Saccharomyces cerevisiae S288C: one gene and its partner. Changing the gene in region 1 together with any one later gene gives a genetic interaction. Each region holds a gene or a part of one and is shown in the gene's direction. Other genes may lie near its edges.

Region 1 (5,665 bases):
CAGCGGTCCTGAGTTCAAGGATATCATATTTTGCTTTACTAAAGAAGAGATACTGAAATCCGTTGAAGATATCCTCGTTTTCATCGAATTGGTTAATTATTATACTAAGTTTTTGCTGGAAATACGAAATCAAGATAAATACTGGGCTTTAAGACATGTAAAAAAAATACTGCCAGTATTTGCTCAACTTTTTGAAGACACGGAGAACTATCCTGATGTCAGGGCCTTTTCTACAAATTGTCTTTTACAGTTATTCGCAGAGGTGTCACGAATTGAGGAAGATGAATATTCTTTATTCAAGACTATGGACAAAGATTCTTTAAAAATTGGGTCCGAAGCAAAATTAATAACCGAGTGGTTGGAATTAATTAATCCGCAGTACTTGGTAAAATATCATAAAGATGTGGTCGAAAACTATTTTCACGTCAGTGGCTACAGCATTGGAATGTTGAGAAATCTTTCAGCAGATGAAGAATGTTTCAATGCTATAAGAAACAAGTTTAGTGCTGAGATTGTCTTAAGACTACCGTACTTAGAACAAATGCAAGTAGTAGAAACCTTGACGAGATACGAATACACTTCAAAATTTCTGCTCAATGAGATGCCAAAGGTGATGGGCAGCTTGATAGGTGATGGGAGCGCAGGTGCTATTATAGATCTTGAGACTGTGCATTATAGGAATTCTGCCTTGAGAAATTTACTGGACAAAGGTGAAGAAAAGTTAAGTGTATGGTATGAACCTTTATTGCGAGAATACTCCAAAGCAGTTAACGGAAAAAATTATTCCACAGGCAGTGAAACTAAGATTGCAGATTGCAGATGATTATGTTGCATAAGCGCAACTATAAAGGCGGCCTTGATTGTTTAATGTACTACCAGTATTGATTCCTGTCTGAATCAAAAACTAACCTTTTGGCGAGGTGGCCCATTCAGTTTTCTTCTCCATAAATTGTATAAATCAGTATGTAAGGTCTGGCAAGTACTTATAATTCACATTTCAATGTCTATGTAGCATGCATGATTTTTATTATAAAGAAAAACTATTCGCCTAAGCGCGTTCGTTTCTTTCCCACTAATTGCGAACGATTTGCCTATATAAATACTTAACGGCACCCCAATCATCCACACCCTCTGAATGCCGTTCTTCAACTACTTTTAAATCACTCTCTTTTAGTAATAATTTCAAAACCTCTCGTTCTTTGGCGTATTTTGCCCTTAAAGGTATTTCTAGGTGACAGGTCCCTGATGCCGCCAAAAACTTCGATATCATGTTAACTACCCATTCCGGATGCTGAGGCGAATATATCGGGTCGGCGATCAATATGACGTCAAATTCATTTTCATGTCCAAATTTATCTATAAAATCGTGAGGATTAGTCCAATCTAATATCTCTGCTTGAACGAAATCTCCTAAATTATTTAATGACACATTTTTCTTCAAATTCGTCACAATCTCGGGTAAATCCGTCACGAAGATTTCTATATTTTCAGTTCCATAAAGTTCTTTCCATTTTAAGGCCCATGAAAGTCCTACTAAACCAGTGCCCGCTCCTAATTCTAATACTTTAATCTGTTTGATGTCGCTGTTCGCTAACATGTTCACATTAGTGGTATGTAGGTAATCCAGGTGATCTACGACTAATTGTGAAAGTATTAAAGATGATCCCCATGTTTTCCAACCAAGATTATCGGCCGTTAAAGAGGGTTCATGAAGCGGTATGGAAGTGCTTAGATTTCTTAATTCAAAATATCTTACTATGGATGGTTGGGCCGTTCTCCCACAGTTTTCGGATATCCTTGAGCTCAATTCCTTAAGAAGTTCTTGTATGATTTCCTCATTCAATCCGCAACTATTATTGTATTTTTTCAATACACTAGTATAGTAGCCCAACAGTAGTTCTTTGGATACTGTAAATCTCAGCATTGGGATTTTATTGCATATCTTTTCCAACGAGTTTAACCTCTTGTTAGGCCATTCTTCTGTATACCAAGTCAAAAGTCTTTTCAGCAGATCGGGTTCCAGCCCATGACTCTTGCAAACCTCCAGTACAGATTTGTTCTTCCCTGTCTCCTGATTGAAGTTTACTTGTCTATCGGGCTTCAGAAGTATTAGTATACAAAGGATAACTTCTGGCGGAGCATACTTCACGGAGGGCAGATCCAGATTATCGATAATGGTGTCATCGTCGTCACTCTCTTCTTCATCTACAGCCGTTAATATTTCGTCACGTTGCGGTGAGCAAGGATCTTTTGGCTCTCTCTCTGCTAGATTGAACTGTAAAGCCTCAACCTGGATGTCATCAGGGGTGTACAAATCGAGAGGATCAAACATAGTGAAATATCCGCTATGGAACTCCTAACTTGCATGAGTTAGATACTTGAAAAGTAATATACAGATTGCACTACTATTATTTTGTAGCTCATCGCGAAATTGAAGAAAAAATTTACGATTGGAAAAAAAAAAACTACTATCAGAAATAGGTGAACCAATTTTAATGCCTGGATAGAGCTGCATACGCTACTAGCTTAAACCAATATTGGTGTCGCCTGTTTTCCTTTACCCAATCCAATATACCACTATACTGCGAATGAAGGTGTTGAAATAATTTGACAAGAGCACTTTATCCATTTTGCATGCGACCTTTACTAGCAATTTTTCAGCGATCTTTGCGGGCTTTAAAATAAGGTCAAAATTAAAGGGAGAAAGATAGAAGACAGTAAATAAAAAATACAAACCACAATAAGCATAAGTGGCTAGGCGAGTCTTAAACTACAGAGTCAAGCAATGGCAACAGACCTAAATCGTAAAAGAAGTGCTACCTCAGGCTCACTGAGCGTCACGAACCCGAACATAAAAGCAACTAATCGCAAACCAGCTAGAGTTTATAGTGTTTCTTCTGATATAGTACCGCAAGCGCTGACACATCCCGACGAAGATGTGCATCTAAAAACATCCAAATCTCCTCATGATGCCGCTCCTAGATGGTCACAGGTGGGGTTTCAATCTATATTCCATGATGGTTCCAATGCAAGGCGCTCGACGGATTCGATTGAAGAGGAGTACAGCCAAGGCACGGAGAATAACGATGGTCACTCCGAAATAGGTTCATCAAGTAGTAACCGAATGGAGGGGAACACCACGTCTAATGATAGTTTATTTTCTTCCAACTCAAGGGGCAATAAAAGGCGACTGTCCATCTTCACCAATTCAAAAGATAATATGAGAAATCGAAGCAGGAGCGGGTCAAAAAACTACGGCACTGTTATTACCGGCACAAGTAGTAACAACATAAGTAGGAGTGGCTCTAAATTGTTTCATACGAAATCTAATATGAGTGTGAACAGTTTACAATCTTCACTGTCTACAGGACATTCTCATTCAAACAAAGGCAGTAATGTCTTTAGCAAAATGGCAAAAAAGCTTTTACCCTACAAGCCGCATAATTCCATTGGTAAAGACGACGTTGAACCCGTAGTTCCCAGCCCATTCAGTAAATTTCTGCATTCTTCATATGGTAAACATAGGTCACCCGTACAGTTTATCCATACTTCTACTGGAGGCCTTATTGACTCTGGAAAATCTGTATATTCCTTTAACCCTAGCATTAACAACAACCCTAATGATACAGCTCTATCGCTGATCCAAGATGATGCTTTCGACGCGACTAATGTTTCTTTACTACATGATTTACTGAAAAACTTGCCATCCTTGATAGCAAACTATAAAAGCTTCACCGTACAGGAGTTATTTGTTCTGGAGGGGAATATCTGGGGTATATACTGCAGCATAGTTGTGGAGCTATTTAAAAACAAGAGGGTATGGCAATTGCCAGCAAAAATAGAAGATATTGACCGGCTGCTGGAATTTTATATCACTTTGAAAACACAAACCAAGGCTGCCGTAACGCACTCAAGGTTTTTGGCCGAAATCGAGGAATTCATTACCACTTCACTTTACATTTTAGAGAACCAGATTGTGTTCAATTATGCCAATGAGGATACCGTAAATACGGCTTTGAAAAGAGTCGGCATAATCTGGAAGGTGTTTTACCAACAGGTTTACTACGACATGATGGCAGTGTTACTGCCCTTCGAGAAAAGCTTCCAAAAAAATAGTAACTACTGGCTTGACGGATATCTATCTGAACCTTCAAGGTACGCACCGTCAATTGATGTCCTTTTATTAAAGTGTTTTAGAGACTCCATCATTCTTCCGTATTACGAAAGCTTCCTACATACAAATGACGGTGCCAGTAAGAGTTTTCAAAGATATATTTTCAGCGAGGAAGAACAGAACGGCGTCACAGAGGAAGATAAACTGACGCTGCTGCAGTGTTTTGGGATCCTGAATACCATAAAAGGTAACAGCAGAAACCAAAGAATTATTGGTGAACTTCTTGAGGGCATACGCATGAGTATATAATTAAATATTTTATTTAGTAATATACAATAGTGGCATATAGATAGGTGTATTTCCTTTTTCTTGTTCCAAGAATCCGGAAAAACAGATGCTCTTTTCCGCCCTATAAAGGGGCCAATGGGGAAAGTGCAGATCATATTAACTTGCTAAAGAGTCAGAAAGAACCAAATAATAAAAAGAAGAACTAATGTTGTGCGCCATCAAAAGCACAGGTTATCGGTATCCTCGCACGGGAGCCTTAAATCTACTACGTGGACGACCATTTAATATGGCCACCCGAAAAATAACTACTGAAAGGATCCCCGGCCCTCCCAAGCTGCCAAGAGAAGAGCAGGAAGAGTTCGAAAGACTTCAGAGGATTGCCACATCGCAAGAGGCAATAGATCAGTATAATGCGCAGGCCACCGGCGATCGTACAAAGGAGAGTTTGAATTCACCGCTTTTAACCAAAAACGATATTGGGTCATTCTCGCCTGAATTTTCCAAGACCATACCTGAATTCGAAGGTGATGTTAACCCCAAGACTGGTGAAGTTGGGGGTCCCAAGCAGGACCCGTTGAGACACGGCGATTATTCGTTTAACGGAAGAGTAACGGATTTCTAGATATTTGGTCCGGCCAATTTTTAATAATACTATTCTTATTTGATGAAACTGCGTAACGTTCAATTTACTTTTCAATATGTATGTTGTTATGCTTTATTTTGAATATATAATATATATATGTGTGTGTTATGAAATGCATACGTTTCATGTTTGCCTAAAATCTCTTTCTTGTGAGCGTCCTTCGAATTCTTTTCGAGTATGAATTGAACCTATTTCGCATGTTTTTCGTGGAGACAGTCTTTCTAGTGCTTTTTAACCTTACCTTTGGCATGTTTTTGATCTTTACACTGGGCACATTCATACTTATCTTAGCCATGATTGACAATTCAACTATCTTGTTTCTTGCGAATTTGTGGTACTCTAAAGGATTTAATTTTTAACGTTTTGTTTGTCCCACTTGGTATTCCCCAGGCGAAAAGATATGTGGGAACTATCATGTTTTTGTTGGTACAAAATAAGGCATTATGCTAAAAACATACTATTTAACCACGTACACACATATTTATTTACAAGGATACCAAACTTGATCTTATTAACGGAGGCTTAAAGTTGGCTCAAGAAATTGTTTTGCTTGATTCGCTGCCTGTTCGCCTTCCTTATGTTCTTTCTTCTCTTTAAGAGAGCCTGTCCCTCTGGGTCCT
Region 2 (7,184 bases), on another chromosome or scaffold:
TAAATGGTAGGAAAAGTTGCGTGACTCCAACCCAGAATTTCTTGAGATGAAGGAGATTGTAACTCAGCAGTAGAGTTGGTGTCGTAAGTGACAGGAGCACTCAAAGCTAGAGAAGCAATAGTTGCAAAGATGATAGATTTGCCGGAAGAGAACTTCATAATGTTTAGTAGTTGTGTGTGGATTTGGTTTTCTATCTTAATTGCTCAATCCCAATTCCTAGATGGGTTGTTCTCCCCCAATGACAGTAATTTTGTCTTGTTTTTATACGTTTCTAATTGATATATTGAAGGACCAGAATGTAGCTCTATTTGAAAGCATGTGCGGCGTCTATAGATCTCTTGTAGAGGGTTCAAGCCACGGAAAAGAACAGTACTTCAACAGATTCGTGATCTGGAAAAGAAAGTATAATTTCTTTTTCCTCCAAAGAGGTTACATTCTTGTAAGCAGTATGGCTACAAAAAACCTTCAGGGTCCTAACCCTGAAGGTCAATTATAAGAAGCCTTTAAAAACAGCGCTTCCGCCATGTCATTGTCGACAGCTAGCTACGGCTGATTCAGCGCGCATACGATTTTTTTCTTTTGGCTAGCATAAATTGATCGCATACTGCCCAAAAAGAAACGGCAAAACGTCAGAGCTTAATGCTTCATTGACATTGCGGCAGCAACAAACTTCCGTTTGGCACTCAATGATCAGCACCTCTTTTCCACTTCAGCTGAAAATTTCAAGCAGTTGACTCTTGTTGGACTTTATTCTTATCTTTTTCTTTACTTAATTTTTCACATTTTAAAAGTTGTTTAGTTTTACCCTTTTTGGAGATTTTATTACAGCGATTGATTATGGGCCAGGTGAATATTGGTCAATTATTGAAATTTCATTTTATCTATGAGAAATAGATGAAAAAATTAGATAATTGTGTTGGGATTCCACTGTTCTCATTAGGTATGAATTTCTCCTGGAGGATACAAAAAAAAAAATTCACAAAAGGGAATCGATTTTTGTCTGTATGATATTATTGAGGCTTTCATTCATTTTACATATTGTCGTTCATTACCTTGTTACATTATCAATCCTTCCATTTCTGTATCCTTTAGATATGATGACTGCCTCTTGATGTTATGCCATATTTGCACCAGTATGTCATATATACTAGCAAGAAGACTGCTAGTCAATTAACAATAGTTGATTCTCGATTCAGCAACCATATTTTTGGAATCGGACTGAATTTTGTCGAACTAATTATACACCTTTCCTTGAAAGAATAAGCTGTTAGTGAGAAACAAGCAAGAACTTGCTAGCCGTCGCAGTTTGTCGGATTTCACTAAATAGACAAAACTACATGTAGAGTATCGTATTTCTATGGTAAAAGTTTACACCATCAAAAATTACCCCGCGAAGACTACGCAAATAAGGTTATACAAGTTAGTTGAGATGAAATAATCATCTCCACGTTCACGATTTAAGGCTAAATTGGAATGCGGCTAAAAAAGAGCGCAGTTACAAGAAAAAGCTACTATTTTATTATGCACGTGTGATAGCATTATCTTCAAGAATAAGCTCAAAAAAGAAAATGAGCTTAAAAAACCGCCTTTCCAGATAATTGAATGTAGCATATACCTATACATGCTTACCATGCCAAAAATATAACGGAACCACTACACATATCGGACCGTATTTTTATGGTTTATCAGTAAGGCCAACCATAAACACCTCAATGTTGGGGAGTCTGTCCTCGGCAATCAATGACGATGCCATTTCACCCTCATTCGAGTACTCGCTAACGTAAGAAAAAGGCACCCCGCAATGGGGTAGATCATACCCTAAAATGTTTCCTAGGTAGAAATAATAGTTACTAGGTAGGACGAAGGCAAGTACTACATAGCAGTACGGTTTCTGAGTCAGTAGTAACCCCTCAAACTTGCTCACACTTATCTTACCAAAAAATGGAGACGGACAATCAAATCTGAATTAAAAACACCGTCGCTTAACTGAATCAGAGAGAGAAGTTGAAACCAATGGTAGGAAATCAATCTAAAATAGAACACTTTAATTCTTAATAAAAAGAGGGGAACAACTTATTTTCTCCATTTGGCCTCGGCAACTTTCAGGGGGGCTTGAACGTATATACCGATCTACGTTGGAATTGACTGCTACTTCGTTCCACTAACCCAACTCAACAAATAAGCCTTGGAACCGCTGCAAGATTAGTCTATGTGACCGTGCCTTTTTTGCACTTTTAGAGAAACAGTGTTAAGAACTGTAATAACTGTTCAATTCTAAGCACTCAAACCGTGCTTGTACATATGCTTCAATGGCCTGCTCGATAGACCGATCACGTTTAATTTTTCTTTAATTTTGCCAAGGGAACGTTCTTTTCGTAGGCACCGCAATTTATTTCTAATGGATAAGTTCTGAATTTTGCTATGAATTAGTTAGTAGGGCCTACTAAAATGGCGTGGTATTTTTAAAGGGCCTTTACCAGCCACTCCTCAACAGAAAACCGTGCTCGCGTTGCAGAAATACGAGGTAGACACGCGCCTTAGGAACATAAAAATAAATATCTCGCGCTCACGGAAGGCAACCACTAACTCCTTTTCATCGAAAAGTGAGGTGTAGCTTACTAAAGCATTCCTCTTTATCCAAGTCGTATATTTTTCTTTATACTGCTAGTTCATTCTGAGCGGAGATTCCTGGCTAACTCTCCAATTGGAAATAAGGTAATAATGACTTTTCATGACGAATTGGGTGAAAATGCTTGGTGCTAGGCCCTGTGTTGTGGCTTTTTTCGGTAATAGTTTAATTTTCCAAAAAGGTTCCTGTGACTATCTTATCAAAGTAGCTTAGACCACGTCCTGCACGGTTTTGCAGACTGCTTAGGGGGTCTCTTGTTGTTATTAGCAGCGGAATATCTTTGTTTACTCATTAAAATGCCCCCCCGTTCGTTGCAAGGAACGCGCGCGCACAGAACTTGCGGATGCTTCCGCAGAAGTGCCCGTAGGAGATTTAAGCTAGCCCAGCGGTTAATCTACGCAGTTGCGTATTCGGAGTCCGCTCACACTTGCAAAAAGCATATAAAAAGCTTCATATTCATCTCATTAGTATCGGTTCTGCCATCCCATTATCTTAGGTTTATGCCTTTTCTGGTTCTCAAGTCAGTAACAACAAATACCCATCGTTGATTCTTTTTGGTAAGATCTCGCCTGTCAAAGAGATGTTCAATCGCTTTAATAAACTTCAAGCCGCTTTGGCTTTGGTCCTTTACTCCCAAAGTGCATTGGGCCAATATTATACCAACAGTTCCTCAATCGCTAGTAACAGCTCCACCGCCGTTTCGTCAACTTCATCAGGTTCCGTTTCCATCAGTAGTTCTATTGAGTTGACCTCATCTACTTCTGATGTCTCGAGCTCTCTCACTGAGTTAACGTCATCCTCCACCGAAGTCTCGAGCTCCATTGCTCCATCAACCTCGTCCTCTGAAGTCTCGAGCTCTATTACTTCATCAGGCTCTTCAGTCTCCGGCTCATCTTCTATTACTTCATCAGGCTCATCAGTCTCCAGTTCATCTTCTGCCACTGAATCAGGCTCATCCGCCTCCGGTTCATCCTCCGCCACTGAATCGGGCTCATCAGTCTCCGGTTCATCTACTTCCATTACATCAGGCTCATCCTCCGCCACTGAATCGGGCTCATCAGTCTCCGGTTCAACTTCTGCCACTGAATCAGGCTCATCCGCCTCCGGTTCATCTTCTGCCACTGAATCAGGCTCATCCGCCTCCGGTTCATCTTCTGCCACAGAATCAGGCTCATCAGTCTCCGGTTCATCTTCTGCCACAGAATCAGGCTCATCAGTCTCCGGTTCATCTTCTGCCACAGAATCAGGCTCCGCTTCTTCGGTTCCTAGCTCATCCGGTTCTGTCACAGAATCAGGCTCATCCTCATCAGCATCTGAATCATCTATCACACAATCTGGTACCGCTTCCGGTTCATCAGCCTCCAGCACGTCCGGTTCTGTTACACAATCTGGTTCCTCCGTTTCCGGTTCATCAGCTTCTTCTGCTCCAGGTATCTCGAGTTCAATTCCTCAATCAACCTCATCGGCTTCCACTGCCTCTGGTTCTATCACCTCCGGTACCTTAAGTTCTATTACCTCTTCGGCTTCTAGTGCAACTGCAACTGCTTCCAACTCTCTTTCTTCCAGCGATGGTACTATTTATTTGCCTTCTACAACCATCAGTGGTGACATCACACTCACCGGTTCAGTCATTGCAACTGAAGCTGTCGAAGTCGCTGCAGGTGGTAAGTTGACCCTACTTGATGGTGACAAATACGTTTTCTCTGCTGATTTCATAATCCATGGTGGCGTTTTCGTAGAAAAGTCTAAGCCAACTTACCCAGGTACCGAATTCGACATTTCTGGTGAAAACTTTGATGTATCTGGTACCTTTAACGCTGAAGAGCCTGCTGCTTCTTCCGCATCTGCCTACTCCTTCACTCCAGGCTCTTTCGATAACAGTGGTGATATTTCTTTGAGTCTATCAGAGTCCACAAAGGGCGAAGTCACATTCTCTCCCTACTCTAACTCTGGTGCTTTCTCTTTCTCAAATGCTATTCTCAATGGTGGTTCCGTCTCTGGTTTGCAGCGTAGAGCTGAATCAGGTTCTGTCAACAACGGTGAGATAAATCTTGAGAATGGCAGTACCTACGTCGTTGTCGAACCAGTTTCTGGAAGTGGTACAATCAACATCATCTCTGGCAACCTTTACTTGCACTATCCAGACACCTTTACTGGCCAAACTGTTGTATTCAAGGGTGAAGGTGTTCTTGCCGTTGACCCAACCGAAACCAACACTACTCCTATCCCTGTGGTTGGATACACTGGTGAAAACCAAATCGCCATTACAGCAGATGTCACTGCTCTTTCTTACGACAGTGCTACTGGTGTTTTAACTGCAACACAAGGCAACTCACAATTCTCCTTCTCTATTGGTACTGGGTTCTCCAGTTCTGGCTTCAACGTCTCCGAAGGAACATTTGCTGGTGCCTATGCTTATTATCTAAATTACGGAGGTGTTGTTGCTTCCAGCGCTACACCCTCATCCACATCTACCACATCAGGGGCTACCAACTCTACTTCCGGTTCCACTTCATTCGGTGCTTCCGTAACTGGTTCAACCGCTTCCACTTCATTCGGTGCTTCCGTGACTGGTTCAACGGCTTCCACCTTGATTTCCGGCTCCCCATCTGTTTATACCACAACATTAACATATGCAACAACCACAAGCACAGTAGTTGTCTCCTGTTCAGAAACAACTGATTCGAACGGTAACGTCTATACCATTACCACAACCGTACCATGTTCATCTACCACCGCCACTATCACTTCTTGCGATGAGACCGGATGTCATGTAACTACGTCTACCGGTACCGTCGCCACTGAAACCGTTTCTTCCAAATCATACACCACTGTTACCGTCACCCACTGTGACAACAATGGCTGTAACACCAAGACTGTCACTTCTGAATGTCCTGAAGAAACTTCAGCAACTACTACTTCTCCAAAATCATACACTACTGTTACCGTTACTCACTGTGACGACAACGGCTGTAACACTAAGACTGTCACCTCTGAGGCCCCTGAAGCCACAACCACTACTGTTTCTCCAAAGACATACACTACCGCTACTGTTACTCAGTGCGATGACAATGGATGTAGCACCAAGACTGTCACTTCTGAAGCTCCTAAAGAAACTTCAGAAACTTCAGAAACCAGTGCTGCCCCTAAGACATACACTACTGCCACTGTTACTCAATGTGATGACAATGGTTGTAACGTCAAGATAATCACCTCTCAAATACCTGAAGCTACTTCAACCGTCACCGCAACTAGTGCTTCTCCAAAGTCATACACTACTGTCACTTCTGAGGGTTCTAAAGCAACCTCATTGACTACTGCCATTTCCAAGGCTTCTAGTGCAATTTCCACATACTCCAAATCTGCAGCTCCAATAAAGACCTCTACTGGTATCATTGTCCAGTCCGAGGGTATTGCCGCAGGTTTGAATGCCAATACTTTGAATGCATTGGTCGGTATTTTCGTTCTTGCTTTCTTTAACTAATTTTTTTAACTGAGGAATTAAAAGTTTATTCCTCTGAAACGAGATAGGTTCTTAATATGCGTTTTATATACGCTTTGTGTAAACAGTTAAGTATTTTTTTAGCTTAATATTTGGATTTTTTTTATTTTTTTTATTCTTTTTGGATGAAATGGTTCCCTCTTCTGCCAATGAAGGGGAGACTAGGTTGATGTGTACACATCGTACACATTTTAAGGACACTTATTTCACTTATTGTCCACAGTAAAATCGTTCAGGCCATAATTAAATGCGAACTTAAGAGAACCTAAAAGTACCTCCCAACTTTTATAGTGGAGCTTCCGCTCTTTGGTCAGAAAAAAATCGAGTTCTGAACACTTGGCTTTATATTACAAATTTCTCCCTTCCAAGAAAGACAAGGGGTGCTTATCGCGACATGTCTCACAATAAACTTTATTATATTTATACTTTATTTATTAATAAGAGTTTCAAATAGGATTCTTGGAGAATTTTCAAAGCGTTTTTGCGTATAAGAAACTTTTCGGTTTGGCTCTTATCAGTTTACTGCCGATCTTTCTTCCTCACTGCTTGACCTGCCACTACGGAAGATCTTACCGACAATGATGTGAGCGGCGAGAACAAGGGAAATCTCGTAAGAATAGGAAACAACCTAACCTCATTTACTAAGAGAACCCGCAGGAAAAGATATCTTTTTGAGGCACAATTTTATGACCGCGTGTTTTCGAATTTTGACAGGGATCATGCAGGCAGAGATTTTCATGTCATTTGACAGCAAGTAACCCACAATCTACAGTCACACCCTTTTTGGCTTTTTTGAGGCGGGACTTTTTTTTTTAAGACATAATTCTTCAGCAGATTGAAATTCTGGTAACCTAATTGAGAAATCCCACGCATAATTGAGTTTTAACTTTCGAATTTTTCAGCAAGATAAATTAATGTCTCGCCCGGGCCATAGACAAAAGAAGAAAATCTATAAACATTCCGTGGATCGCCATGTGATATTTCTATTTAATATAGGCACATGGCTATGGCGAAACCTTAATGTGATACTTATGGTACATATATGTAACATGC

The links. Genes that interact genetically often act in the same process or in processes that back each other up.
Region 2: mutations in BIT2 (region 1) and HPF1 together harm fitness more than expected from each alone (negative genetic interaction), as found in Saccharomyces cerevisiae (2 studies listed by BioGRID).

What each region holds. Positions count from the first base shown.
Region 1 is NC_001134.8:741,519-747,183, reverse strand, and holds BIT2 (Bit2p), read left to right. Parts: upstream 1-2,785; coding exon 2,786-4,423; downstream 4,424-5,665. Other genes in the region: HSM3 (Hsm3p), read left to right, coding at 1-823; EFM2 (S-adenosylmethionine-dependent methyltransferase), read right to left, coding at 1,073-2,332; SDH8 (Sdh8p), read left to right, coding at 4,608-5,024; mitochondrial 54S ribosomal protein mL54 MRPL37, read right to left, coding at 5,568-5,665.
Region 2 is NC_001147.6:27,632-34,815, reverse strand, and holds HPF1 (mannoprotein), read left to right. Parts: upstream 1-3,209; coding exon 3,210-6,113; downstream 6,114-7,184. Other genes in the region: ZPS1 (Zps1p), read right to left, coding at 1-158. UniProt on the Saccharomyces cerevisiae protein: Involved in cell wall organization and biosynthesis.